Linked DNA regions of Caenorhabditis elegans. The protein of the gene in region 1 purifies or fractionates together with the protein of each later gene. This does not show direct contact. Each region holds a gene or a part of one and is shown on either strand. Other genes may lie near its edges. The genes, in order: vit-1, R09H10.5 and mrpl-41.

Region 1 (11,543 bases):
TTCGCTCATCTCAAACCTATTTTGTAGGCCTAACCTTTTTATTTCAGAATTCATTGATTGTTAACAACTTTGCTCTCATTTCTTCATCGCATCAATTCTTCGCAAAACCTTTGAGAGTTTGCATTTTAGTTTTTAAAACTGTACAAGACTTCCGTTCCAACACTAGGATAATGCCAGGAACCAGAGCTAGCACAAACAAAAAGACGCAGTTGACCAAGAAAAATAATTCAGTGTTTGTCTACAATGTGAGTTGTTAAGCAAGATTTATTTTGAAAAACTAGCCTTCCATATCCAGACCGTTTTAGTTTACTTCTCACTCAATAATATGCTTATTGTCTAATTTTCTAATTTGTTTCCGACTTTTAATGTTATTATGGCTGAGATTCTTATTGTAAAATATAGATACTTCATGAGATCTGAGCAAAAAACTGATTTGGTTACAAACAAAATATTGATTGAAACGGAAACAGTTTTCTACAAGAAAATACCTTACTTTTTGACAAAATTGACGGAAAATATATGTCAAACAGGTCTAACATACGTGCAAACTTATCAAGCACCTAAATTTTTCATAAAAACATAGCTTTTATATAAAAACAGAACATATCAACTCAAATTATAGTTTTGAAACAAAAAATTCCAACACGTTAAGAGAACCTTGAATTTAAAACTTAAAAATATTAAATAAGACTAGTATGGAAACTATATTATATCAACAATATACACCTTGAATTGACAAATACGAATAATCTGTTGTATAAAAATTTCAGACCGATCCAAAATTTTTCCCGAATACCAGAAGGATGGACTACAGTTTCATTTGCAGTCCGAAAAGAAAAACTGGATTGCTCACAGTGACAAGGTTAGTTTTGTTAAATTTTTTTTGTAAATAAGAAATACAATTGAAGCAATAGAGTTTAGACAGAATCTTGAGTTTAGCACATTTTCCCACAGGTAACCAAAAATCATCGACATTGGTTACATATCAGTTTAAGTCAAAGTAATGTGAGACGAGGAACCAAAAATTACAATAAAAGATGATAATCAAATAAAAGTTAATTTCCAACAGCCGTGACATGGAATGGTTGGCAAAATTTAAGACTTTCGCTAGAATAAACTGAATTTTTTTCGAAATTGTGAACCGTAATAAACTTTTTTTTGTAAAATTTGTGAGAAATTGAGAAATTTCAGTACAATATTCGTGAGCCCATGAGACAAATTTTCGAGTTCAAAATACACAGAGCCGTTAGTCTTTCTTTGAAGTATGCAAAGTTTTGAGAAAATTTTATTTATATCGAAGATTGATTAACTCTTGTCTCGTTGTCTGAATATTCTTATATTCTTTAAGTAAACATTTTTCAGCTGCAAATGCGGCACGGACTGCACCACGGAGGAATGTAGCAATTTCGCAAATCATCGCGAATGTCCCCGAGGATGTTCAAATTGCGAAAATCAAAGATTTCGCAAAAGACAGTTTTGCGGTGTTGAAACTTTCCTCACTGACAATGGCATAGGACATGGGCTCAGAGCAACGGAAGAAATTGCTACTGGCAAGTTAATCCTTGAGTATCGGGGAGAGGCGATAACCAAGGCCGAGCACAATAAACGCGTTAAGCGCTATAAAAAAGATGGAATCAAGCACAGTTATTCGTTTGAAGTGGGAAGAAATTACTATGTGGACCCGACACGCAAAGGGAATTCGGCACGGTTCATCAATCATTCCTGCAATCCAAACGCTTTGGTAAAAGTGTGGACCGTGCCGGATAGACCTATGAAGTCTCTGGGAATTTTTGCATCGAAAGTCATAAAACCAGGAGAAGAGATCACTTTTGACTATGGAACCTCCTTCAGAAAGTAAGTTGACTTTGTAATACTTTGAAAACAATACCCATCTTTTTGGAGTGAGTTTTTAGTATACTTTTTCATTGCGACAAAATACATACTGGCAATGAACTGTAATAAAACAATTTATCAAAATCTTTTGTATTTTTCTTTTTTCTTCCATTTTCCGAACCCCGATAAAAAATCCCAAAATTTTAAATAAATCACAATTTGATTTTGTTATGCTAGACCTTTTTATACTTTACAGAACTTTTAAAATTTTAGTGACCAACCATGTCAATGTGGGGAAGCAGCATGTAGAGGTTGGATTGGAAAACCATCAACATCTGAAGTTCCAAAGGATGTGTCCAAAGAGCTTAAAAAGAGAGGAAGAAAACCGAAAATGGATCCCACAGCACCCATATCAACAACGAGCACAGGAGGTGGAGACAAGGGGAAATTAAGTGGCACAATTCCGGTGCCAAAATCCAGGAGAGGAAGAAAAAGAAAGACCGATGTCACAGCTCCTGTTCCACTAGCCACAAAAACCAAGAGACATAGTCCCCCAGCCGAAAATGAGTCAGAAGACAAAGAAAATGTTAAACCACCAAGCGAAGAAGACATTACCAACGCCATGAATAATCTTTTAAATAAGACATACGATAATCAAAATGGTGTGCTTGATGAATGCGTAAGTAGAAAGATATCAATTTGAAAGCCACTTTTAAATTGTTTTCAGAGAAGCATCATGGGCAATCTGGAGTGTAAAAGTTACGAACACATGGTTCACAAACGAGTGCTTTTTCTACTAGAGAAAAATATGGTATCTTAAATATTTCAATTCGATTTTAAACAGATCAATTTTTCAGGGTCTAAACTCGAGACTGTAGCCACTCGTGGACTTTCAAACGGTTTACATGCTTCACTACAGGTCAGTGGTTACAAAATGAAATGTGGCAGTTGTAAAGAAAAGTAGGAATACAAAAAAACTCGAAATTCTGGAATATTTGAAAACCAATTTTCATTCTAAAAAAACCAATCGACTAAGCATACTTATTGTGTTTTTTCAGAACTGCCAAACTTGCCTTCACAATCCTCATCTTTGCCATTTTATCTTCAGCATGATCAGCATGATTTCTTGTTTTAATTTCATTTTCATAATAATAAAAACCTCCGAAAAAAAATGACAGAGCACTTTACTTGTTTTATTTTCTTTGCAACGTTTTAAATTCTATCAGTTTAGTATATCTTTCTCAAATTCCGAAGATTCGTATCATCAACTTTCACGATTATCGGAAATAAGATTTCAGACACTAACAACTTCTTTTTAAAATGTTAAACTCGATTTATTTTCTGTTACGCCAAAACGTTGAAAAAACCATAAGTAATTTTTGATGTTTCTACCAAATTTCTGCAACTTGATGATGGATATGAAACAGTTTCCAAAAGCTTAAAAATAAACTAATGAAAATTTATTTCTAAACTTGTACTAGAAAGACAATTATTAGCAGAAGTTATAAAATTATGAAAAAAAAGGCCGGCCGAGCTTATGAATTAATAAGCGACGCAAGCAACTGGGACTTGAACTGAGTGGACAAAGGAAATCTTGTGATCATCAAGTTGAACTGTTCCTTGACGAGCCTCCTTCACCAGACGTCTGGCTTCAGAACTGTGACGTGGCAAGCAGGTGAAGCGAACTTTCCTTTGTTGTTGCTCCACAGCTTCGTATCCACGACGACGGCACTCGGCTACTGGCTCAACGGAGAAGCAGATGCGGTGGGAAAACTCCTTGATTTGAGTCTTCTCGACAAGATCTGAAAACGTAAGTTTCCGATATGATATTATTTGAAATTATGTCTTACCGGATTTCTTCTGGCTTCTCTGGTTCTTTTGCTTTTTATTGGTGTTTTCCTGCTCATAATCATAGGTCTCCTCAAAAGAATACTCTTCAGATTCGTACTTTCTCTCGTCGTACTTTCTGTAGTTCTTCTTCTCAGAAAGACGCTCCTCCTCGGCTTCACATTCCTCGTTCTTGAGAAGGTAAGATCGGTGGAACTCTTCGATGTCTTTGGTTTCGGTGTTATCGGAAGTGTAAAACTCGTTGGTGGACTGAAAATTTTTGTTATAACTTAAGAAAATCTCTAGACTGAACTCACCTCATCATCGTTGTTTCCGCAAAGTCCGCAAAGTTGGTTCTTGCGGCTGTAGGATGGAAGTTGAGTCTTGATGGTGTATCCGTCAAAGCGAACCTCTCCTTCTGGTAGCTCAATAACAATATCGGACTCTCCGAGTCTCTCGATTTGGTGAGCAGAATAATCCTCAGAAAGGATCTTCTTACCGTCAACCTTAACGCGAATCTCCTCGTTCTGGAGTTGAGCAACAATTTCTTGTTCTCCACGGATAACCTTGATGATCATCTCTTCGGAATTCTTTTCAGTCTTCTTGGAGAGAACAGCGAAAGTTGGCTCCTCGGAGCAATCTTTGGCGATCAGAGAGTAACAGGTGGTGAGTGGAGTGTTGTAGAGGACATCATCGAAAGTACGGATTTGGTTCTTTTGCACCTTGCAAACAGATCCGGAAGCCTCATTAAGTAGGTGCTTGACGGAACGTTGAGCAATGGATGGAAGGTACACACGTGGCACTTGAACGTTCTTGAGCTCAACGCGCTCAATTGGGGATTGCATGGTGATGTTGACGTATTGTCGGGACATTGGCTCAACTGTGAGTTGAACGACGACGCGATCATTCTCGTTGTTCTCTGGGCGGCTCGAGACAGTCCAGTAGTTGTAGGCCTTAACAAGATCAAAATAACGGGCAAGAACTTGTTCGGTTTCACGGGTGAGCTTGTACTCAGCAACAGCGTTGATCTGGTTAAGACGGGCGGCCTTGATCAAAAGCTCGTACTCTGGCATTCCATTGAAGTGACGGTCCATGTTACGCTCGTATTTCTTCTGTTCCTTGGATTGTTGGAGTTGAGCGTTGACGGTGACTTCGCTCTTCTTCTGGGATCCCCAGGTAGAGGTAAGAGAGAGTTGAACTTCACGGTGTGGTTGATCGTGGAGTTGACGGAGGGATGATGGCATCTCTGGGCGGACAACAAGAAGTTGGGAGCGGAGAGTCCATTCCTTGGTTTCCTCGAGGATTGGGGAGCGGCGAATTTCAACTTCCCATTGGCACATGCGGACTTGCTTGTCACAGACGGTGGTAACCTCGGTGTTCATCGTGTAGTCACGTGGGGCCTCAAGTCTCAAGGAGACGACAGATTTGTATCCTTGCTCTTTCTGGATGCTCTTGACCATCTTGGTGAAGTACTCACGGCGGCTCTCGGTGTTCTCTTGTTCGAGCTCGAACTCCTTTTCGAAGATCTTGTTGTACTTGATTTGGGAGAGCTCGGTCTTCTCGAGTTGTCCAACGGTGAGACGGGCGGTGAATTCGGCTGGACGGTACTTGTTCTCAACGGAAACCTCGAAGTCTTGCTCGGCAAGAAGCCAGTTTTCAAGAGTGTGTTGGTTGAGGATGTTTCCGCGTGTGGAGACTTCAAGTCCGAGGAAGTTGAAGACCTTCTCAATTTCCTGAGTCTTTTGTTGCCATTGTGGAACAACGACGGTTCTCTCTTCAGCCTCAATGTATTCGAACTTTGAGAATCCTGGGAAACGAAGGAAGACAACTGGGCGAGTGGTGAGGGAGATGATCGATTTCTGGTTCTCTGGAACGACAACCTTGTAGACGATTTCGAAATTTCTCTTCATTCCAACGACGGCTTGAATCTTGATTGGGGTGTAGGCGCGTACGGATTGAACGCTCTTGACTCCTTGCTCGAAGAGTGGGGTGAACATTCTCATCTCGTAAACGTGGGTGGCAGCAACGGATGGGCGAGCCTCAACGGTCAAACGAAGTTCGGTTTCCTCAAGTCCAAGAGAGAATTGTCCTTCAGCCGAAAAGACCGTTGGGATCTTTCCAGAGACGATGAGTGGAAGTCCAAGAGTGGTTGGGAATTTGCGGATAGCCTCATAGAAGTAAGCGGCATGATGAGTCTCGAACTCGTGCTCTTGGTTAAGAAGACGGCGGATTTCGCTGAACTGAACTTTTCCGTTGCTGATGTACTTCTCAATGAGCTTCTCAATGAGTTGGGTATCGACTGGGAGGATGGCATAATCCATGTCCTTGTAACGAAGGTAGACCATGGCGAAGGCATCCTTCTCGTTGTAGTTTGCTGGGCGAGCACGGATGTTCATTTTCAGGGCAAGTTCCTTAAGAAGCGTGATTCCGGTTTGGATACGGCGTCCGCGGACAACAGTTGTGGACTCCTTCTCAATGCTTTCGAGTTTCTCAAGAGCCATCTGAACGTATTTGTCCATGTGTTGCTGTGAGAATCCGATTTGGGCAAAGTACTTGTTCCAGTTTCCTCCGAAGACGGCATCAAGAGAAGCGTGAAGATCCTTTAGCAAGAAAGAGTTCTTCTCGAAGATAGCGGCAAAGTCAAATTGAGCTCCAGAGAAGGAGTTTTGAAGGAAGAGTGGAAGTTGAGCGTAGGAGGAAGCGATCATTTGTTCTTGTGGTTGATAACGAGTGAAGGAAAGAACCTTTGAGCAAACGATAGCAACACGTTGGTAACAGGGGTTGGTGGACTTGGCAAAGTGACGGATCATCTGGTGGGTAAGAGCAGCAACTTGTTGGTTGGTCTCTTTCTCCATTTGGGAAACAACTTGGACGAGGAGAGACTCTTCTGGGCGGGTGTGCATCATTCTCCACAAAGCAAGCATGCGGATCTCTGGCTCGTATTGTCTGTTCTTGTAGATTGGGAGGAGTACCTTTTGGATCTTGCGTGGCATGGTGTCCTTAAGAAGTCTGAGGGCATCAATGGCTTCCTTGCGGACTGGAAGTAATTGGCGCTTGTCAACAATGATCTCGTTGAGCTGGTTGACGGAGATGTCGAGTCCAGCGTTTCCGATGCTCTTGAGTGCCAAAATCTTCTCGTAGGTGGTCTCAGCATCCTTGTATTGTTGCATGAATACGCGGAGGAACTTCTCCTTGAGCTCACGCTTGTCCTCGCGGACGAGTGGACGGATATTCTTGTAGTCAACAATTCCGCGGACAACTGATCCGGCGGCGAGCCAAGCAGATTGTCGGACAACCTGGTTGTTCTTGGAAACGCGAGACTCGGCGAACTTGATGAGTGCTTCAGCAATGGTTTGAGATGGGAATGGAGTCTCTTGGATGGACTTAAGAAGTTGAGCGGCCTCGAGTGGAACGATGTCCTCGTTCTCGATGTGAACAAGAATGTGTTGAATGGTGTTCTTGGTTCCAGCAATAGCGAGAGCGTGCTCCATCAAAGATTGGATCTGAATATTGCAAGGTAAATTATAAAATGAACTAAAAATGTATACCTTCTTGTCAGCCTTGACGTAAAGAGTCTCGTGGATCTCTTTAAGTTGGGAGGTGGAGGTGGTGCGGAAAATGCGGACAAGACGCGCAAGGAAGTGGGAGGTCTCTGGGATGTTGTTCTCGACTTCTTGTATTTGCTCAGTGATAGTCTTGATCAAGTGCATCTTCTTGTCAAGTGGGAACTTCTCGAATGGGGCGAACTCAGCCTTATCTCCATTCTTGAAGAAGTCTTCAACGAGTTGCTCCCAACGGGAAGAGTAGATGATGCTTTCCTTCTCTCCATTGACCTGAAAGAATATTTGTCTTAGAACATACTGTAAAAGTTATGGATTAACGTACCTTCTCTATGTGACTTTTGATGGAGTGGTTCTCCTCAAGAACAAGCTTTGAGCGGGTTTCAGTCTTCATGACTTCTTGTCCGTTAACGTTGACAGTGTAAAGGGAGCGGACCTCGGATTCTTTAAGCTCTTCGTTTTCCAAAATGTAGGTGTAGACAGTTTGTGGGCGGATGAGCACGGTGTCCTTCTCGCATTCTGGGCACTCGGAAGAGTAACGAAGTCCGTAAGCGATCTCGGAACGTTCGGTGCACTTGTCAAAGTTGATGGACTTGGTGATGATGGTCTTCTTCTGCTCACGGATGACAGTGTAGGCGACTTGGCAGTCTCCTTCAAGGGTCTTCTCGTTGGTGAAGAAAGAAGTGTTTTCCTCAGATTGTTCCTCCTTGTCATAAGAAGATTCGATTTTCTCAATCTCGTTTCTTGGAGCAATTGGGTTGAATGAGATCATGTTGACAACAGCTCTCTTCATGTTCTTTGACCATTCAGCATCTTCCTTGTCGAATTGGAGCTCGGCGATGAGTCCATTTCTGAGTTGAGCACGGAGTGGGAGTTTGAGCATTTGCTTGTACTCCTCGGAGAGTTCGCGCTGCTCCATGGAGTTCAAGGATGGAATCTGCTCGGACTCTGGGAGGTGGGAAGCGGCCATGTGAATATTCACAAGTTGAAGGTGAATGTGACGGTCATCGACAGCTTGAATACGGACACGAGCAGAAAAACGAGATTGGGAGAGCTCAGAGGAAGCAGTTGGAAGGCCGGAAAGAACAAGTCCGTCGAACTTGTAATGATAGTCGATTTTCGGCTCAAATGTGCGCTCGAAAGCTGGGGAGAAAGCAATGGCCAAAGCCACTATAGATGCGATAATAATCGACCTCATGATTGGACAATGAATTTCCTCTTCACAGGTAACCTTATATACAACCTTCGATTGGCATTTTCTGAATTGAAATGAAGGGTTTGCAACATTTAGCGCACTGATAAGGCTTTAATTTGGCACATTGACAGTTGCTCAATAATTTTTCACTTTATTATCGCTGAATCTCAGAAATAGCTTCTATCAAATGTGAATTTTTTGTATTTCTACGTGTTTCATCAAACTTTGATTGACCATGCACAAATTGTCTTTATGCAATTGATAGTAGTGTTATGACAAGTGTTATGACAATTGCGGAGAAATTTTGTTTTGTGGAGGACAAGTATTTCAAGTGTAATGCTAACAACTAATAGCCAATTTTTTCAAAGTACTTTTTTAAAAACTTTTTTGTAGTGATGAAGTTGAAAACTTTGAAGTTTCAGCCATTTAATTTATTTCAAGGTTATATATTTAAGTCGCAAAATTGTTTTACAAGACGGTTGCTATTTATAATTGTTGATTCAATTTTTCAGTCGAGCATAAAGGCTAGTGCACTTTGTTTTAACATATCAAAGAATTGTATATTTCAGGTGACAATTTTATCTCTCAAATGACATGCAGGAAACAGCAAGTTTTACATTCGAATATCCACAAGAGTACCTTATGTGATAAAGTTTTGTTTTTTTGTTGTTGTATTTCTTTCTCTAAGTTATTCACTAAATGTGAAGTGCAACGAGAACAATTTGAGGTTTGTAAACAAAAAAAAAACAAAAAAAAAACCGAAATTGTAAACATAGTTTTTTAAACAGAAACGGTTACTAGAGATTTTGTGGAATATAATAACTGTATTTTTTTTATAGTTGGTGTGACATGTGTGACTTTAGCCATTAACAGATCTTATTTCCTTAATTGTGTTTTTTCATAGAACACATTACAAAATGACTGAATATGTGAAAACGAAGTGTCACATCATTTACCAAACCAAAAATCAAGAATGATTTTGGAATAGGTATTCAAGCCTGCTTACCAACAGGACAACCTCTGCCTGTTTCAAAAGATAAATGCATTCACTGACAAAGTTTTGTCGAGATTTATTAAAATCGTTTGATTCAAATTTTCAACCAAAGAACGTGAAAAAATTCAAACGTTTACTGAAAAAAAACATTGATCATCGGAGTTTACTTCATCTTTCAGATTTAAATGTTTAGGTAAAATTTTATTTTAAACGCGGTTTATTAATTTTTGACATATGTAGGCTTGAATTGTTACAATTCAAGCTACACTTGCGTAGAAAATAACCTGATAACCTTATACGAAAAAAGTTTATTTCAGCTTTCAATTTGGAGCTAACAAGAAGTTGTCACGTTAGAGCCGAATCGACACTTTTTGGTAGTCAACGTCTATAGCTTTGATTGCCACTGTAGTTAACTTTGCTCTTCCTCTCACGAAAAGTCAGTTTTGTTCAGAGTTAGTGAGATTTATCAGTTTCAGGCGCGCTGATATTTGACAATTTGAAGTTCATATCTGAATAAACAATTTCAAAGGTCATTCACACTTTATCAGAAGAAAAAGAAACATAAAGAATTAGCACTCCTTGAGCTTTTTGCAGACATCTTCTGGAGCAGTTCCTCCCTCGAGCTCGTTGATGATGGGGTCAAGCTTGGAGTTTCCGTACTTCTCACATTCCTTCTCGGCAAATGGAATGATTCCAAGTTCCTTCTTGCATTCGGCGTCAAATTTCTAAAATCATATTCACTATAATGACCAAACGAACAGTTTGACTACTTACGTCCTCAACGGTGTGAGCTTCTCTGTCAGCTGGGTTTTCAGCAGCACGGACTCCGACCTCGCACATGAGGCAGCTCATGGCATTGTCCTGTTGGCTTGGGAGAGCCAAAGCGGTAGCGACGGCGACAAGGGCCAGAAGGCAGAAGGTGGTCTTCATTCTAAAAAGAAAATAATATAAAAACGACATTCTAACCTTATCAAGAAATCAGCAGTCTGCAAGTTTGTCATGAATGAAATGAATGAAAATTCCGAAAGATAAGGGAAGAGTTAAAGTGCTGTTATCATAACGATTGTCTCGTTCATTTTATACAGACTTTCAACAAGGAAATTTTAAGTGCTCAGCCCGACGAAAACTTGAATCGCATGACACTGTCCCGCCCACTTTTATAACCCACTGATAACCCGATAATCCGGAATCTTTGAGTTCTTTACTCTGTCTGATTATAAAACTCTATTTGAGATAAAACTGTTTACATCATATTTCAATAACATATTCTTATATTCCTTGATACTTTTAAATTTGTTTGCTCTTTATTAGTGATTTTTTTTTTTTGAAATTTGATTTCAATAAAATCTGAGAAAGAAAATATTGAAACAAAGAATGTGGTCAAATGGGGTTGACAAACAATAAAACGAATTATGACAAAATGTTCAGAGAAATTGTGGAAATTCAAAGAAATGTACCCGATATCCAACGGGAATATAGTACAGTAACAAAGGAAACGATTTTTGATGATTTTTGGTGTGGGGTGACATGAAAAAAGGGAGGAGGAGTAGAAAAACGTAAGAAGAAATTATCAGTTATACATAAAAATGCGGGAGGCAATTATTACGCGCTTACTTACAAGGGTCGAAAATCAAAGAAAGTGGCGAGGAAATTGTTCCATAAACAGTAGAATTCAGTCCGTTTTCAGCAATTTGCAAATCAAGACCGAAATTATAGAGAAAAATAAAAAATGAATTTCAACAATTATAGTGGGATGATGTGTTTGTTTGGCGGTTAACTGTTTAAGTGTTTGGCGAGAAGAAGTGCATTGTCACGGAGTTGATTTGGTTCATGTGTTAATTGGGGGAATAGTTCATCGGGATCAGTAGGGTTCCTGTAAAATGTATCTTTGTCAAAAGTTAAGAATGCAAACTCTGTGAACAGTGAAACTTATCAATTTCATCCTAAAATTATATGGGCTTTGAAACCGTTTTCTGAACTAATTTTATTAGGCTTACATGATCAGGTTACATGATATACAATTTCGGTTTAATCGTGTTCCTTATTTCTATTTAAAGGGTAATGCAATACTAATAGAGGAAATACGGTGAATCATAACATTTTTGTAAATTAATAGTAAAATATCTCGGTTTTT
Region 2 (11,581 bases), on another chromosome or scaffold:
AATTTGAATCAAATGTTTTATTACAAGTTTAAATTTTTATGAATGTTTTTTCAAATATCAGTCTACATTGCTTATCACCCCCGCTACATGTGCACGGAAAATTATATGCTTCAGCGATTTGGCTTGGAAAAGGAAATCTGTCTAGTATCTAGCATTAGTCATCTGGGCACAATATTAGAGATTGAAGATCAGTGAGAAGTTACAAGTTATGAAAGAAAAGAAAACAACTTTGAATAATAACATGGAAAGCTAACCAAAACAGTATGTAAAATATTCATAAAAATCGCCGATTAGTGATTGGTTCGTGCCGATATGAATATCCGTCCTTCAAAATTCGCAAGCCACAAGATAAATTTCCCAGTTTCCTAATAGTAAGAACAAAAAGGGTCAAGTATACCGATAGAACACGTAGAATGTTCGTATAAATTAGTGTTAGATTGCCGTTAAAAAGTGAGACTCAGAATTAAAGTTTAAAATATGTATTAGGAGTGTATTTATTTTGGGAGTTTAATTAATTTACAAATTAAAATTTTTTTCATAATTTGTATTTTGCATCGGTCATTTGTACCAACCCAATTTCCATCTAGATACAGTTATTATATCCAAAGTCGCTTCAGAGTACGCTTACAGCACTTTTCTAGAAGTGTAGTATTTACATAGGTTCCCTAAACTTGGAAAGTGAATTCAAGAACCCAGAAAGACCATCAATATCATTCAAAAGCCGGCATTGACCAATGTTAGCTGAACATTCGCTGCGCGAAAATACTGAGGCTCTGAACCAAAACTTCAACCAATACGCCAAAAGGACCGACGCAATTTAGTTTAAAATATAAGTGTAGCCGTATTCAAGGAGTTATTAAATACTTTCACTCTACTAATTGATTTAGTTTTACAAAATCTCCAATTTGAATTTAAATTTGCAATTAAATTTTAACTGTAAACGTTCTTTACCCACACCAATACAATACCGGGTTTTTCTGCTTTTCCAAACCTTTGCCACTTGTTTCACAATGCGCTTAAACTCCACTTTAGGGCAAGAGCGTGTATAATTTACAGATAGCCGCACCCATTTTTTTCAGTTTCAGGTTTCAATTCAAAAATCAAACAAGAAAAGTGATGATTTATGGCAAAAGAACAGTATACTACAATTGCCGCCGGAACTTATCATCTTATCTGAAAAAATTGTATTGGGTCATAATACAAATTACCACGTTTTCACTGCGTCTTTTCTTCTATCTAATGTTTTTTTTAAATAATGAAATATGATAGTTTTGATCGATATTATAAACAATCACATCACCACTTTCACTTTCTCGCCCAAATTTATTGATAATCAATCATGATGATTTTTCAAAAAACTCTCAAAATTTATTTTTTCTTATTCTTTTTCCCCACCTTTTTGACATTTTCATTGGCAATTAACTGTTATGCTGGTAAGTTATGAGTTCCACGTTTTCCTTTTTCATGATATATGGTCTGTGATAAGAAGACACGAAACAAGAAGCACCCATACACCTTTTGATAAGATATTAATTGGCAGGTAGCAGAGGATACATCAACGGAAAACATATTCAAAACTTTTTCAATGAGACTTGTGATGATGGAATGAAGTACTGTGTGGAATCTTATAGTGAAGATTTTGATACGGTCACCGCGAGTTGTCAGACGTTGAGTACAAGCAGAAGAATCCTGAATTTGTGCGAGGTATTCAAAGGCCCTTAGATTTTAACTAAAACCATTGAAAATAGTTTAAAACTGTCAAAGCGACCGTAATGAAACCCACTGAAATAAGTTTTATCGCATTTTGCTAAACATAAGCTTTGGAATTTTCAAATTTGGATCCAAGTGAGATTAATTTATGAAGTGATCACCAACCTTGCGTGCGATTTTAAACAAAATTCAAGAAGTTTTAATATAAAAACGTGATTTTCTATAGTCATTTGACTAGTTTGATCAATTTTCCCACTGGCTTTGCAACGCCTTTACCTATTCTAATAATCCAAACTATTATTACAATTCTGAACCTTATTTTGCACCTAACGAAGTACGTTTTGTTTGCAGAGTCTGCATGAAAAGGTTCAGAGTAACAGGATTTTCTGATTTATGCACATTTTCTTTGTATCTTTGCAGAATTTTCATTTACTTATTTTTTTTAGCAAAATAGCAAAATTAAATTTACGAGCTACACTCTACTTTGTTAAAAAATTGTTTTAGGATATTTGAATAACAATCCTGGTGATATAAATTTTCCAGTAACATGTGAAAACACTTTTTCAAGCATATAATTTGTAATCTGATCAGAAAAAATATTTTCTAGACCACCGTGATATTCACGTGCACATACACCACGAAGAAAGCTTGTTTGTGTTCCATTGAATAATTATGAAATAATTCGCAAAACAATTATTGCGTGCAACCTTCTATTAGTGCATTTTGTTTGATTTAACGTGCCAGGTACTCGGGGCAGCCTTATCAAATCTATTTCCAGCAAAACTTTCATCATTTCCAGCTGACTTCATTAAAATTACCACTTCCGAAAGTTGTAAGAACTTTTGATAGGGTTTCAAAAGACTTATGTGACGCATTTTTCAATACTGGTAGATTAGGCAAAGTAGTAAAGGGGATTGGCTATTAGAGTCTTTGAGCACAGATCACAAGTAGGTTACGCACTGAGGCTACACGTGTCAAACTAGATTTAAACTCAATAAAAGGGGGTTCTTGAACAAAATTCAAATGAATTGATTTTGCTTCTACTTTTACAGTTTTTTAAATATTTGTTATCTTCTGAACAATCTCCATTTCTGATCTGTAAGATCAAAGGATTTATCTATTTTGCAAAAAAAAAATTACATATTCGCCGAACTTTGAGCTTGTATAATACAGAAAACAAAACTGTTTCCTTATGAATTTTTTGAACCATGTTAAATTAATTGACTAAAGTTCAGTAGAGAAATAAGATTATTTTTATTTTTCAGGGTGATCGAGTTTCCACAAACATCGGAGTGACAACGAGATGCTGTTCGGAAAACATGTGTAACGATGTTGGAATTGAGAAAAGGACCAAGAAAGATTCAAGTGCAGGGAAACAAAAAATTGAACATTAAATTCAATGAGCGTTTTTTAAGTTGAAAACAAAGTTCGAAAACCGTATTTCTTCTATTAGTATGGCTGTGACTAATTCTCAAAGGGGCAAACTTCAGGACTGCAATGGCAAATATCAATATTAATATCAAGATTTTCCTGTGTTTCCGATTACTACTTTTCATTTACTTACTGTTAAAATTTCAAGTAGAATCAAAAATTTCAAGATTCAAAAAAAAAGATGATAATTGCTACAAGAAATAACAATAATTCCAATTTTTATCATTCGTGAGGTGGTTTTCTGACAAAAAAAATGAAGGCAGAGAAAAATACATACAGATTGACTGAAAATCAAAAATTCCGGAATCCGGATCTTTGGCAATCCGTAAATCAAAATGCAATGTAATCAATAATGCATTTTTCAAATATCCAACTTTCGTTTTATTTCTCCAAAAAAATTTAATAATAAGAATTGAATACACATTCGATAGCGCCCCATTTAATTTATGATTGTACTTTATATTTTTGAGGACCCAAATAACCAATAAAAGTTTCAAAATGAATAAATTCATTGATAAGCTAATGGGCGAGTACAGGCTAATAAAAACTGCAGTTTCCGATAAGCGATGCATGCCATCGAGTTGCCGATTTTGACTTCAGTTCGGTCGTCAGAGACCAAACCAAAATGGCGCCTGCTACAAAGGCCATTGGATTGCTACTGGTTATTATAGGATTGGGTAATTTTTTTAATGTTTTTCAGTTTAAAAAATACCGTATTTTTCTTATTAACGTTGAATTTTCGTTTCCCCATTTGACAGCTCCTTGTTCAAATTTGGTTCTGATTTAAAAAAAAATTAAATTTATGTTGAATCGGTTCCAATGTAGAAAGTGAATTATAAAAATAAATAAATAAAGAGTTATAATAACTGTAATTTTTATCCAAGTATTCCAAACAAATTAATTTTTCATAGACAAAGTTTGTCTGAATTTCAAATTTCAAAACGCAGAAACTTATTTATTGGTTTTCAAAAAAATTTGATCACCATTTACAGCCGCTGGTGTTCAATATGAAATTCGTGGTAACATTGATCTCATCAACAGTTACGATATCCATCCGGACTATTACAATGAAAAATCATTCACGGAAAAGTTGAACAAAGTTTCGGAACGGGTGAGTGACGGTGCATTACACGAATTTATTTTTCAAAAAATTATTTTCAGTTTTCACAAGTTGTTGGACCAGATTTCAAAGAGTTTTTTGTTCATGATTACAAGTGAGTACTGGAAATATTTAAAGAAGATGTATTCTGAATGAGGGAATTGCTGAAAAGTTTAGTTGAAGAAATTTACAATTTCTTTTGATTCTATAGCATCTTTTGGAACTGGAACTTTTTTATTTTTAATTTCACCATTTCATATATCTTTATTCAAATACAAATATGAAAAATACAGAAAATTTCGAAGAAGTTGTTTTATTAATTAACTTGAAGTAGTTTATAAACTGAAACAAATTTAGTTTTTGCAATATTTTGTTCAAATATAACATTTTATTGAGAAAATTTAAAATATTAAAATAAATCTGATACATTGAAAATTTCTTTATTTACATTTTGGTCCATTTTTCACACATTTCTATACACACACAATAATAAGATAATGTTTCCACAGTTATAATTTAAAAACAAGCAACTCATTTCCCTCTACCGATCAAAAAATTTCAAAAAATCATTCATAAATCCAGAATTCACGGTCAAGACACCGCAGTCTTCCATGCTCGTCTAACACTTGTCTCATCTCTAACAGTTTCCCGACAAGACATCATTGACCAAATCGTGGCGACGGACGACGTGCAAATATATTTCTTGCGAAAAAATGGTATGGTTGAACTCTATCATTGTGCCCCGTTTGTTCATTAATCAAATTCCGCCTTTCATCAATGTTAATTTTATCTACACTTGGTGGTGGAAACTGTAAAATATGTATTCTTCAAAGCGCAAGGTCGTAAATTTTGTGTTGCGTCAGAATGTGCAGTACACTTATTATTAACACCTAACATCAATTTCAGAATTTGAAGTACAAGGGGACAGTGTTTCGAGATTCAGAGTAGTTCGTGCTGACGTGAGCAATTGCTTGCATGGAGGTATTTTATTGCCAAATGCTACCTGTTCTTGCTTACCATACTATTCTGGAGCTAACTGTGAAGTGGTGACGTATGTTTTTATATTTGAATGTTTTAAATATAAATTTTATTTTCAGTTGCCGCAACAATGGTATTGGATCAAGTGGAAGATGTTCATGTCCTCCTGGATTGTATTCTGCTCATTGTGAAGCAAGTATGCTTTCAAAATCAATTTAAAAAATCAATTTCTGAAAATCAAAGTTTTCAGGAACTTGTGTCACCAAGATTGACTCCGTCGTTGACTTCTCGTCTCAGTCACTCATTATTGCTATCAACACTAGAACATCGATGGCATACGATTTGAGCATGATCATTGAAAATATTCCAACATTGGTGACGGATTACCAAAGTCAAGGAGTCATTCTTTCGAGCTTCATCGTCACCGTCTACAGATATACAAGTTAGTTTTAAACATAGTTTTGGTTGAAAACTTCAAATCTCAGAATCCGTATACTTCATGGAAACGAGTGCCTTCACAACATCCGATGCTATGATTGATTACCTTCACAGTGTGACCATTGCTCCATCATCTGATGATCAACCTCTTCTTGACGCTATTGCTAACTCTCAATCCACGTGGGTTTTAGATATTTTCAATAACTGGAGATCTTCAATCAACTTAAATGATATAAAATAAATGTTTTCAGCCAGCCAACAATGAGACCAAAATCAACTGTTTATGTTTTTGCTGATTCTGAGAACTTATTGGATCCAACTCCCTCAACGCTTCTCAGTAGCACAAATGAAAGCATGGTCATCCAGCAGACTCTTGCCTGGAGAAATAAGGTCATTTAAAGCTACAAACTCGTATACTTTTTCCATTTCAGATTATCTTTGTTCTCTCCCAAACGACATCAAGCCCAATTGAGCCAACTGGAAACCACTTCGATGTGCTCCGCAGAGTCGCTACGGCTGCTCATGGAGACATTTTGATGATTGATAAAACGGAAATTGTCGAAGTGAGATCATTTCTTATAACTCTAGATCAAAGTTACTCAATTCTCAGGTTCTCACTCATCTTCTTTTCTACACAATTGGTGGACAGAATACATATGTGCAATACTACAATAATGTTGCCAAAAATATTCCAGTGCAGTCGGATACACCAACACAAACAACATATATTATGATGACAGTTGAGAATGGAGAATCACGTTAGTCAAAAAATGGAATCTGCAAAATTGATGTTTTTTTTTTCAGTTCCAAATATTCAAGACACCAATGGTAACACATTGAAGCCCACATCCTCTGGACGAAGATTTGCTGTGAGCCTGAGTTAAACTATCACCTATCACATAATAAAAATAGGTTTTCAGGTTTATCGTGTATTCCAAAGTTCAACCACATCAGTTACCATCACAGGAGACACAATTCCACTTCATAATACTCGTGTGTGGTTCACTTCAATGGACGATGTTCTTGTGTCATACTCTGAAGATGATACTGTTGATAACAATTATGCTCACACATTCAATGGATATTATCAACGGCCATCTCTATATTCTTCGTTTGCTACAACTACAAGTCTCTCAGTTTCAACCGCTAATTCTGTCACTTCCGGTGTGATTTCTGCTGCTGTTACAGCGACAGCAAAAGCAACATCATGCATCTTCCAGTACCAAATCGCAAATGCTACTTCGTGTACTCCAGGTCCATATGTTCATAATGTGGTTGTGTCTGCTTCCGATGGAAACAAGTACCGTGCAGTTCCAGGATATTGCTTCACGCCAGGTATGTAGTCTATTTCATTTTTCCGATCAAATACGACATTTTTAGATTCCCACATGGCCGCTCCGTGGTCATGTCTCAACAACGGAACCCGCTCCGGAATAAGCACTTGCTCATGCACAGCCAACTGGGGTGGACTTCACTGTGAAGTTCCAAAATGTGTGAATGGAGGATCACCTGACAAGTTCCCCAACGGTGGTGGTCATGGAAACTGCATTTGTCCATTTGGTGTTTCTGGAAGTTTCTGTGAAATTTGTAAGTTTTTCAGTCTTCTCTGAAATCAGATTCATACCTTCACTTTTTTAGTGACATGCAGCACCACATCCCCCGACACCTTCCAATCTTACAATCGGTCATTTGCTGTTGTTGTTCAAAACTCTTTATCTGCTAATCAAGCTCTTGTGCGGCTTAATGATGGTCTCCGTGCAATGCTCAATCAAGGACAGTCTAATGATTTTGAAGATTTTGTGCTTACGACATTCAAGGCTAGAACAGTCAACGGAGCATCATTCCCAGATGTATCGTCGTCCAAGTTCAGCTCAGCATCTGCTTTCCTTAACGCTACCAACGACATTGGAATCGGATATTCATATTCTCCAAGTGGACCTCAGCCAGGACTATTCGCCTTGGAAACTACAATGAGATCAATGGATTTTGATAAATCCTCAATTTTCTTCTTCACTGATTCTGCGTCTTCGGTGGTGGAAGCTTCGATGAACTTCTCCGATATTGTGTAAGTTAAGAGTATTAAAAAGTTGTTGTTTGTGAATTTTTATATGTATAAGAATGGTACCATATTTTTTTCCGTCAACCTAGATTTCGATTTTTATCAGTTAATATTATTTAGAATACTTTATCTTTCTTCAAATTGTTTGTAATGTCCGTATCTTCGATCAACTGAATTTCAGTCAAACCGCAGTGGAACGTCAAATTGAAATCTCTGTAGTCATCATTCCACCATATGGATCCACTGACTTCTGTACCGACATTGGAACATATGAGATTTATGAAATCCTTGCACAACAGACTGGTGGAAACTTTATCAATTTCTGTCAACCGTATACTACAAACGGAGATCCTGTGTTCAATGTACGTTTGGAAGATTTAAATGTAAAATAAATTCTCTGAAATTCAGTTCATTGCTTCGTATGGAAGCACTCATCATCACACAGAGGTTGTTGCTTACTATAATGTTATGGATTGTTCGCTTTTTGCATCCCGTTCGTTTTATATTTCAAGCGCCACAAATGATGCATATGTTGTCGTTTATTCTCGTAAGTTGATCAAAACCAATTACGATTCATGCGAAAATTTTCAGCTACGATTCAAAACTTTACTGCTTCCGTTACTAATAATGGTGTATCGCAGTCGTTGGTTGCTGATTCACATTCAGTGCCATTCTTTGCCAGTTATCAAATTAAAATCAGTGCTGGATCTTCGTTGCAATATGTCCTCCAACTTTCCTCTAATACCAAGGCACAGTGCTTTGTCAGAATCACCGAGCGCAGTCAATTCTCCGCTTACCTTGGATTCTCTCCTGATCCATCATTTGATCGTTTCAGTAGAGATCTGACTTATGCAACTCATCAACAGCCAGTCATTCATCTTTCTTCAACTCTTCAATCTGATCCATCAATTGATGTCACTAGTTATGATAACAACAATAACATTGCTTTTACTTCATTGTTCACTAAACGTACATCTGGATGCAAGTATGAATACATCATGAATCAAGAATACACTTGCCAAAGTGCTGGAGATACATTCACAATGGAAACTACCATTACGACAAATGAAGTGACAATCATGAGAACTCAAAGAGCTTACTGTAGTGATTTGATTGGATGTATCAATGGAGGAATCATGTTGGGTGGAAATTGTCAATGTGTCAATGGATACACGAGTCTTCACTGTGAAGTACCAACATGTCAAAATGGTGGTTCGGTAGTAGACTTTAAGTGTCAATGTCCTTCTATATATGATGGAGATTCTTGTCAATACACAACCTGTAACACATGGAACTTTGTAGAGACTCATGATCCAAGAGAGTATAACTTCCAGCAAATTGTTTTTGTCGTCGAAATCAACACCAAGAATATGATCCTGCCAAATTCGTATCTTTTGAAGAATATCCAAGCATTTGTGGATTCTACTGATGACGTAAATGTTCCAAAGCAATACACTCTTGTGACCTTCGATGACACTAACATCAAAGTTGTTGCATCTTCCACGCGAAAAGATGTTTTCTTGGCAGCCTTCCAAAAAGGTATCACTGTTTCAGTGAATAGTCCCACCAAAGTTAGAGGATTGGAAGCTATTAACACTGCATATGCAACACTTGTCGATCTTCCTGGAATTGTTTATGTGTTTACTGCAACCAATTCAGCAAGCAATCTCGATGCAGTCAGACAACGTTATGGTGTTCAGGTGAAATTTTGAATATATTATCCTTTTTTTGAAATTTTTGTCGCTCTAAAGATTGAAAATGAATACTTAAAACTTCTGAATTTACTTACAGGTCAACATGATTTGGATGGGAGCTGATCTCACACCTGTAAACGTAAACTATTATTATGCAGCCATTGCAAGACAATCAAATGGACGAGTCCTTCCAGTCAGCCCACTTCAAACTCAACAGGTTATTTAATCAAAAGGCTTCGTTTTTCCAAGCAAGTATTTCAGATTCTGAGCGCTCTTACTCCAACTGTCAATGAGAATCAATTGATTCTCGATGATGCCGCCAAGGATTGCAGTGCTGGAGTGAACTTCCAGTTCCCAGTCGGAAGTTTGGCTACGACACTTACACTTGTAGCGACTGGAACTGGCGTTTCAGTTACTGTCACAGATGAAAAATGTAAATTTATTTTGTATTATTTTCCCAGTACTTGGACAACAAGTGCATCTTTTGATTTTCAGCCAACAACGTCGATTTGACCAACTCCACTACCTTCACCGATGTGAACACCTTGATCAGAACAATCAGCACATCTGGACATAATGCAGGCACCTGGAGTGTTACAGTAAAAAGCACCGGAAGTTGTTATCTTCAAGCTAGAGTCAACTCGCCACTTCAAATCATTCCACGTTTCACCAACGATCAGGGGGATGACTTCGGAAGTGGAACTCCAAGAGTTGGTGCTGGAAGTACATCCGCTTCTTATATCACTTTCCGTGTAATGGACAGTTACAACTCTGATTCCCACAACTTTGGTTCGACTATTCTAACTGTTTCATCAGCTAATACTGACCCTGAAACTCCATGGGAAACTGGAATTTTCACAAATGCAACTGTTCTTGTTAGAGACCCAGTTAACTGTGCAAGCCAGTTTGTGACACCGCTCATCACTTGGACTTCAACTTACATGAAATTTGTCGTGAGAGGAAAGGATTCTAATAACAACGATTATCAGCGAACTTTCTTCTTTAATAAGAGTGGAAACAAAGCCGGTCGGTTCTAACTCCTAGTGATTGTCGAAACAGAATTAAGGCGTGAGTTTTTTAAATCAATCTACTTTTTTCAGATTGCATGAATTCTGCTACTGTAGACACTTATGGTTTCTGTCAATGCGATGCCAATCATTTTGGAAATCTATGCCAACTTAGAAAATGTACGAATGGAGGAGTATCAGCTTATGGACTATGTGACTGTCCAAATGGTTACTATGGCGATTATTGTGAACAATGTAAGTTCTGTTTTCTTTAGTTCCACACTAAGAACATCATAATTTTTTCAGATATCTCGGCTTAAACGATCAAAGGATTAATTGATGGCTTTACTGTTTAAATTTTTAATACTTTTTTCAAATTATAATGTTTTCAAAACAAAAAGAAGCGGTAAAAATGCAATAACACGTAACATTAATCACACTAAACAAGATATTAATTGAATTTTATGTAGAGATTAGGCAGAGATCTTCAGAGGAGGATCATGAGACTTCAGGAAAAAGGCATCCCGAACTTCAATGCAAGCTTCCAGTTGATCTTCCAAGTTTTGTTCAGTTTTGATATTGATTCCAAGAATAACAGATACAATTATAGTGGTAATAAGAAATAGAATGAATAATACAAAGAACATGATTGAGTACATCTTCAGTTTTCTGCAAATTCAGCGAATTTAAATTTTTTTAAATTTAAATATAACTTTTTGACCATTTTTTAGGTTGTTTTGAAATTCAGGTCTCAACTTGGTTATGCAACTAAATTTGATTTCAACTGACAGAACTGGTTTTGTAAACTTTGAAATTTCTTATATGTGTTCAATATTTTGATAATACTCCAAAATGTTTTTTTCTAAAAAAATAAGCTACTTACCTAATAAGAACTTTATCTTCGCTCATATCTGGCCTTGTAGGAAGAATTCCGTTGTACGAGGATCCACTGTTGAATTCGGAAACTTTCATTGTTGAAATTGGAGTGAAGTTTGAAATAAGCGAGAAACGGTTTTTTGGACACTGTCACAAAGTAGTATGTAGATTTTATTTTATCATCACTGACCCGATTATCACTTATATATGTCTCTATTCCAGCAATTTGCATAATCGTTTTTCAACAAAACTTATTGATTCTGATGACACCCACTTTTTGTGATAGATC
Region 3 (7,560 bases), on another chromosome or scaffold:
AATTTCGTCTAAAACTCGCAGGTTTTCATTGAATTACCTATAAAATCTATAATTCTCGAGGGATTTTCATGAATTTTCAGGTTTCAAAGTTTTCTCCGGAGAGCGGCAGTAGTTTTTTTTTCCGATTTTTGGAATAAATTAAGTTATAAATATGCTTGTAACTGAAGTAAACACATTGTTGTTTAAAAAATTGAAAAGAAAGCAAGAGCATACCTTAAAATTGTGGATTTCAACTGTTTTTTCTCAAAATTCGCCTGAATTTCACTGAAAATAGCCCGATTCTCCGCCAATTTTCACCCTAAAACACCATCGAACACACGCTTTAATCACATGTTACTTTTCTCTCTCTCTCTTATCACTCTTTCCACGAAAAGTTCTCTCCAAAGAACGCGCAAAAAGCGTTCAACCACACATTCTCTGTTGATTTTCACCAATTTTTCTCGTTTTTCAGTGAGTTTACATTGTAAAATGTTGCTCTTTGCACATTTTTCTCACTGAAATCTGTGAAAATTCACTTTTTCCTTGAGTTTTAATGAGAAATTCTGCGTCTCTCCCTATTTTCCTGTTGATAAGATCCGTTTAGTAACATTTTGACCTTGTTTTTGTGGTTCTCCGGGCGAAAATATCGATTTTTACCCAATTTCTGTTGATAATTGTGCCGTTTTCAGGAAAAAATGTCCAACGAAGGAGGAGTGCCAAATGTCGTGAAATTCGCGTTCGGAGGAACCGCTGGGTGGGTTTTCGGAATATTTTCAGTTTAAAATCTTTAAATTGTCTTGAAATCGTCAAAAAATATTCAATTTTTGCAGAATGGGAGCGACTTTAGTGGTACAACCACTAGATTTAGTGAAAAATCGAATGCAATTGTCTGGAACAACAGGAAAAAAGGAATATCGTTCATCAATGCACGCGTTGACATCAATTATGAAGAACGAAGGAGTTTTTGCCGTTTATAATGGACTTTCTGCCGGACTTTTGCGTCAAGCAACGTATACAACCACGAGATTGGGAACTTATGCATTTTTATTGGAGAGATTCACTGAAAAGTACGGGAAAACACACTTTACAGCTAAAAAATAGCAGAAAATTGACTAAAAAGCGCGAAAAATGTTCCTTTTTCTTTGAAAAATTCAATTTTTCTTTAAAAAATTTTTTTTAGAGACAAGCCCCTATCATTTGGAATGAAAGCTGTTCTTGGAATGACAGCTGGTGGTATTGGATCATTTGTTGGAACACCTGCTGAAATTGCACTTATTCGAATGACTGGAGATGGACGGCTTCCTGTTGAACAGCGTCGTAATTATACAGGTAAAAATGAGCTTGAAATTCGTTCAAAATTGTATTAAAACAGTAAAAATTACTTTAAAAAGTGGAAAATCATTGATTTTCATTTGAAAATTTCATTTGAAATTTAATTTTCGTCACAAGAAACTTAAAATTACCGTTTTTACAATAATGTCTCATTTTTATCGAAAATTTCTTACAAAAAATACCGGATTTCGTCAAAAATCTTAATTTTTATTTGATGAGTTTGGGTCTGCTAGGCTGCAAACTACAAATTTCGATTTAGCAGACCAAAGTGGTTTTGAAGAGATTTGGTCTGCTAGACTACAAACTACAAATTTCGATTTAGCAGACCAATGTATTTTGATGAGATATGGTCTGCTAGACTACAAACTGCAAATTTCGATTTAGCAGACCAATGTATTTTGATGAGATATGGTCTGCTAGACTACAAACTACAAATTTCGAATTAGCAGACCAATGTGATTTTGAAGAGATTTGGTCTGCTAAGCTACAATCTACGATTTCCGATTTAACAGACCCAAGTTTTAAAAATCGCATTTTGTTGGAAATTGTTGGAAATTCCAAATTTTTCATTTCAAAAATTGAAATTTTAATAAAAATTTCTCATTCCAGGAGTCGTCAATGCCCTTACCCGTATTACAAAAGAAGAAGGTGTCCTAACTCTTTGGCGTGGATGTACACCTACAGTACTCCGAGCAATGGTCGTAAATGCCGCCCAACTTGCCACATATTCCCAGGCGAAACAGGCACTTTTGGCTTCTGGAAAGGTTCAAGATGGCATTTTCTGCCACTTTTTGGCATCAATGATCAGTGGATTGGCAACTACAATTGCATCGATGCCTGTCGATATTGCAAAAACGAGAATTCAATCAATGAAAGTTATTGATGGAAAACCGGAATATAAGAATGCTTTTGATGTTTGGGGAAAGGTAAATTTAACTTTTAAAAAAATGTAAAAATTCGAAAATCTAATTTTCCCGTTTTTGCTAAAAAGTAGGTTTTCACTCGGATATCCCCAAATTTTAAACCAAAAATTTAAATTTTCCAGGTCATCAAAAACGAAGGAATCTTCGCCCTCTGGAAGGGCTTTACCCCATATTACATGCGTCTTGGACCCCATACCGTGCTCACTTTCATCATTTTGGAACAAATGAATGCCGCCTACTTCCAATATGTGCTCAAGCGAGATGTGACCAGTGCCTTGTAGAATCGATTTTTCAGCTATTTTTCGACCAAAAAATCACAGTTTTATTATTTTTTTTGAACATAATTTTATGCTATTTAGGTTGTGTTGTGTACACTTTTCAGATTTTAAATTTTGGCCAGAAATTTTGTTTTAGCCAGGAAAATTCAGTATTTTTTCTTCAGTTTTTCGTGTTCATACCAATTTTTTCTTGTATTTTTTTCTGCATATAAATGCAATTTTTAATGATTTTCAAAACGTTTGTTCTCTGTTTTTTTTTTTGGTTTTTTCCCGCTTCTTATATTTTTTAAAATTCTATTTTCAGGTATTGCAGGCAGGGCTATTTCAGCCAAAAATCCATTTTTTCTCGATATTTTCATTTTTAATTTTGAAAAATCCAGATTACCATTCAAAAATCGACTTTTTTCTTAATTTCCATATTTTTAAGCAAACAATCGAAAATTTCAATTAAAAAATCCAATTTTTCAGATGAAACTGGTGCTCGTAAGCACTCGTGGAGTCCGTTCACTCAATTCAACCAATTTTCCGGCTCCATGGCCATTTGTGAAGAAAGGAGCATTTGGACAAAGGAAAATCGGTCCAATGAACTACGAAAAATTCAAATGGCCCGGACAGAATCGCGAATTTCCAGAACTTTCTCCGAAATTTCAGAAATTGAATCCAAAAGAGTTGCATAGGTGTGAAATTTTGTAATTTTTTTCAATATTAACCCCAAACGTTTTAAGACTTTTAAATTTCTCATCCAGACCACTTGGGTCTGCTAAATCGAAAATTGTAGTTTGTAGTCTAGCAGACCAAATTTCTTCAAAACAAAATGGGTCTGCTAAACGACAACTTGTAGTTTGTAGTGTAGCAGACCCAAAGTTTTCAATTTTCGCAATAAAAATTAGAAAATGATGAATTTTTCAATTTTTCAGTAGGAAAATGAATTTTTTTCAAATAGAAATTAGCAAAAATTCAAGTGTTTTGCAATTTTTGTGTTTTAAGACAAAAGTGCGTATTTTCATATTAAATCCTGAAAAAATCGGAACTTTCGGGGAAAATTGATCTAATATCAAATTTTTGAGTGAATTAACATTGTATTCCAAAAAAAAAAAGAATCAAAAATCTAAATTTTAAGCTGAAAACAGGCAATTTTTATATTGGTCTGCTAAATCGAAATGTGTAGTTTGTAGTCTAGCAGACCAAATTTCTTCAATATCACTCGGGTCTGCTAAATCGGTATTTGTAGTTTGTAGTCTAGTTTGTAGCAGGCCCATCCTCGATTATTTTCTAAAATTTTAATTTTCCAGGTACACCGGAGTCCAGGCGGACGGATTTCACGACGAAAAGACTGGAGAGTTTGTACCGGTGAAAGAGATGCGATCAGAGCTTGTTGTACCGAATTTGGATGGTTTCAAGTACGATTTAAGGGATTTTCAAATGAAAAATTCACGAAATATGGGTAAAACCCATGAAAATTGACTTTTTTTTTTGAATTTTCAAGTTCAGTTTCAAGTTTTCAGACTTCGGCCCTACGTCTCCTACCGTACAGATGTTCAAATCGAAAAGCGACGAGTTGCGTATGAGAAGAAAGTTTTGGAAAAAGGATCCGAACGATTGGCTGATTTACATACTGTTGAGGATGAGAGGTAAAACTAAAAATTTCTGATTTTTTTTATTTGAAATTACCTGAAAAAAAGCAGTTTTGTAGATTTTTTGCCCAAAAAATTGAAAAAAAAATTAAATTTTCCAGATGGCCACCACCGAAAATGTCAGCTGAAACATTGTTCGAATTGGCGTACGGCGACACTGTCCGAAGTGCATACAAGGAGGGAAAATATGGAAATAAATAATGTTAAATCGATTTTTTTTTCATAGATTTTTCATATTTTATAGCGATTTTTCTGTTATATTTTTTGTTTTTGTTGAAAAAAAAATTTCCCTTTTTTTTCTGTATTTTTTCCTCAAAATTCGAGTTGTTTCCCCTTTTTTATATTTAAAATTTTCAGATTTGAAGTCAAAAACCAAGAAATTGACTAATCTCCTAAACATAAACTTAAAAAAAAACGTCAAAAACCAAAAAATTTTAATTTTTAAAACTTACTTTTGAGTTTTTTTCCCTTTTTCAGAATTTTTCAACTGAGCAACTTTGAAAAATGGCTCAAAAATCGGCTTTAATCATATTGGCGGCCGAAGGAGCTGAGGAAATGGAGGTCATTATCACTGGAGATGTACTTGCTCGTGGTGAAATTCGTGTGGTTTATGCCGGATTAGATGGAGCCGAACCGGTACGGGAATTAGCAGAAAATTGTAAAAAATCTAGAATTTAAAAAATTAAAAATTCCGAAATCCCAAAAAAAAAAATCAATAATTGAGGTATTTTAACCCCAAAATATGTTTAAATTTGAGAAAAATTCAGAAATTTCAAATAATTTTTCTTTTCGAAACCAGTCAAAAATCATAAATATTCACATTTTCCAGGTAAAATGTGCTCGCGGAGCCCACATCGTGCCAGACGTCAAACTCGAAGACGTGGAAACCGAAAAATTCGATATTGTGATTCTTCCAGGCGGCCAACCGGGCAGCAACACGTTGGCTGAAAGCCTACTTGTCCGCGATGTTCTCAAGAGCCAAGTAGAGTCTGGTGGGCTGATTGGAGCAATTTGTGCAGCTCCAATTGCACTCTTGAGCCATGGAGTCAAGGCAGAACTTGTGACAAGTCATCCAAGTGTTAAGGAGAAACTCGAGAAAGGAGGTACAGCTGGTTTTGCACTTTTTTTGGTGAAAAGTCGCTAAAAATCGAACAATTTCATAGGGGAGCCTTAACTATTCATTAAAAAAATCTACATTAGGCAAAACTAGCGAATTTTTCACTTGCAACGTGGCCTGGAAAAAACTCGGCCACCGAATTTTCCGCGGCCACTTAGTGAGATCCTATAACTTTCATGACTTATGTGTTTCTATCCAAATTGATGGTATGAATATCGGTATTCTCGGCTGAAACATGCAATAAATACCGTATTCCAACCAACAATTCGGTGGAATAGAGCACATTTGTCACTGGGGATGCGGAAGCTATGCCCAAATTTTCATTTCTCCCCGAAAAACTTGTGATTTCCAGGCTACAAGTACTCGGAGGATCGTGTTGTTGTCAGTGGCAAAATCATCACCTCTCGTGGACCCGGAACTGCCTTCGAATTTGCGCTGAAAATTGTGGAGCTGCTTGAGGGAAAGGACAAGGCCACCAGCCTTATTGCTCCGATGCTCCTGAAGCTCTAATTCTTCCCGTTTTTTTTTCGCTGAATTTCCTCTTGGTTTATTGTATATTCGTCACAATTTCACGTTTTTCCCACACCTATAAATTATACATTTCTTTTTTAAATAAAAAATCTAGAAAGCTCCGAGAAAACTACAAATTTGTTTATCCAATGACAGCAGTCACCCGAGTAACGAGGACATACTCTGATGAGCTTAATCAACAGAGCGCGCGCGCGAGCAACTTAAAATGACTTCCGCGGTTATTTCCCTCACGAAACTTTGATTTTTCCTTTTTTCTCATTTTTCTTGCGAATTTATATTATTTCCTAAACTTAAGTGTAAGACGTGTAAGCCTAAGCCTATCCTAAACATAAGCCTAACAAAGTAAGCCTTAGCCTAGCCTAAGCCACAGCCTGAACCTAAGCCAAAGCCAATGCTTAAGGCCAAGTCTAGCCTATTCCTAAACCTAAGCCTAAGCGTAAGCCTAGCCTAAGCCAAAGCTGAAGCCTAAGTCTATCCAAAATATAAGCCTAAGCGTGAGCCTAGCCTAAACCTAAGCCTAAGCATAACCCTAAGCCTAAGCCTAAGCCTAGCCTAAGACTAGCCTAAAACTAAGCATAGCCTAAACATAAGCCTGAGTCTAAGCCTAAGTCTAATCCTAAACCAAAGCCTAAGCCTAAGTCTAGTCCTAAACCAAAGCCAAAGCCTAGCTAGTGAATCAAGTCCTGAACCAGAGAACTAACTAAGCCTTGAGCCCCCAGAAGCCCGGAGTTACCTCCAGTGCCGAAATTGACCGTCTTGGACTCTCTATTTTCAGATCCTGACGCATTCTGACCTTGATAATCGGCTTCTGACTCTCTTTTGTGGTCTTTTTTTCCAATTTTCAGAAAAAGCGATGATTTTTTTCCGGATTCTGTCACGTCAGAGATGTTGCAAGTCCGAGAAACATGACATTTTTTGTATTTTTGATTGTTCTGATTTTGATTTTTTGAATTTCCACACGAAAAGTGGTTGATTGAATGCCAGAAGATATCAGGATTTTTTGTTTAAAGAATCATCATACTTCCGTCTTTGACAAATCTTCGATACAATTTATCGTAATTGTGCTTGGCCATTACGGTTCATTTTCTATCATTTAAAATATCCTAGTAGGCCCAAAAAGGCTTGATCTACGTAGATCTACAAAAAATGCGGGAGTTTAGACGCAGAGTTCTCAACTGATTTCGCATAGTTAAGAACGTGCTGACGTCACATTTTTTTTGGGGCGAACAATTCCCACATTTTTTGTAGATTTTTTGTAAACATTTTTTGTAAACAGTGATCGGACAGCCTGACACCACGTGCTCTACCGTTAAGGTTACCTCCACCGACATCTTGCCTGTGCATGTATACATTTCTTTTATTCACTAAACCCTGTTTTTTTTTAAATTTTATAATAGGAACCGTAAGTTAAGAATTTCTGACTGAGATAAAAAAGAACTGCAAGATTTCAAGAGAAAAATGGTTTAGTTTATTCAAACTGAACTTTATCCTCCAGAAAAAACCTGATCACTTTAATTTTCTTCAATTAGCATTGATCTCAAGAACTGAGCTCGATTATTGTCGAAAACAAAGCGAGATGTTACATTATTTTATAAATTCATTTTGTGCGATCATTGTTGATTTCTCTGGAGGTATAAAGATCAGTTCAAACTCGGAAGATGGTTGAAACTATAGATAGTTACCGTTGAATAAATTTTCTTCGCACACACTCATGCCTAGGGAAATAAGTGCTTAAATGACCTGATGTCAGAATAAAACTTTTCAAT

The links.
Region 2: the proteins of vit-1 (region 1) and R09H10.5 fractionate together in Caenorhabditis elegans (co-fractionation; one large-scale study listed by BioGRID). This does not show direct contact.
Region 3: the proteins of vit-1 (region 1) and mrpl-41 purify together in Caenorhabditis elegans (affinity purification with mass spectrometry, with the first as the bait; one large-scale study listed by BioGRID). This does not show direct contact.

What each region holds. Positions count from the first base shown.
Region 1 is NC_003284.9:7,724,776-7,736,318, reverse strand, and holds vit-1 (Vitellogenin-1), read right to left. Parts: upstream 8,431-11,543; 5' UTR 8,419-8,430; coding exon 7,546-8,418; intron 7,494-7,545; coding exon 7,209-7,493; intron 7,164-7,208; coding exon 3,978-7,163; intron 3,931-3,977; coding exon 3,684-3,930; intron 3,636-3,683; coding exon 3,376-3,635; 3' UTR 3,151-3,375; downstream 1-3,150. Other genes in the region: set-12 (SET domain-containing protein), read left to right, coding at 171-245, 771-862, 1,363-1,854, 2,107-2,512, 2,561-2,644, 2,691-2,711; spp-14 (Saposin B-type domain-containing protein), read right to left, coding at 9,979-10,134, 10,184-10,339. UniProt on the Caenorhabditis elegans protein: Precursor of the egg-yolk proteins that are sources of nutrients during embryonic development. Together with other vitellogenins, may play a role in modulating life-span, acting via induction of autophagy and lysosomal lipolysis.
Region 2 is NC_003282.8:10,621,000-10,632,580, reverse strand, and holds R09H10.5 (EGF-like domain-containing protein), read left to right. Parts: upstream 1-3,751; 5' UTR 3,752-3,766; coding exon 3,767-3,818; intron 3,819-4,133; coding exon 4,134-4,252; intron 4,253-4,302; coding exon 4,303-4,355; intron 4,356-4,822; coding exon 4,823-4,956; intron 4,957-5,146; coding exon 5,147-5,291; intron 5,292-5,337; coding exon 5,338-5,414; intron 5,415-5,468; coding exon 5,469-5,660; intron 5,661-5,703; coding exon 5,704-5,836; intron 5,837-5,907; coding exon 5,908-6,046; intron 6,047-6,087; coding exon 6,088-6,219; intron 6,220-6,266; coding exon 6,267-6,414; intron 6,415-6,460; coding exon 6,461-6,525; intron 6,526-6,576; coding exon 6,577-6,991; intron 6,992-7,036; coding exon 7,037-7,243; intron 7,244-7,294; coding exon 7,295-7,721; intron 7,722-7,896; coding exon 7,897-8,077; intron 8,078-8,123; coding exon 8,124-8,262; intron 8,263-8,306; coding exon 8,307-9,415; intron 9,416-9,506; coding exon 9,507-9,626; intron 9,627-9,670; and 9 more. Other genes in the region: F56C4.4 (Activin_recp domain-containing protein), read left to right, coding at 1,340-1,433, 1,541-1,704, 2,976-3,104; R09H10.7 (SEA domain-containing protein), read right to left, coding at 10,890-11,085, 11,300-11,388.
Region 3 is NC_003280.10:285,959-293,518, forward strand, and holds mrpl-41 (Large ribosomal subunit protein mL41), read left to right. Parts: upstream 1-2,980; coding exon 2,981-3,189; intron 3,190-3,645; exon of another isoform or gene 3,646-3,700; intron 3,701-3,804; coding exon 3,805-3,912; intron 3,913-4,017; coding exon 4,018-4,143; intron 4,144-4,247; coding exon 4,248-4,347; 3' UTR 4,348-4,428; downstream 4,429-7,560. Other genes in the region: misc-1 (Mitochondrial 2-oxoglutarate/malate carrier protein), read left to right, coding at 675-733, 810-1,046, 1,160-1,308, 1,921-2,237, 2,357-2,515; Glutathione-independent glyoxalase DJR-1.1, read left to right, coding at 4,651-4,782, 4,976-5,249, 5,616-5,773.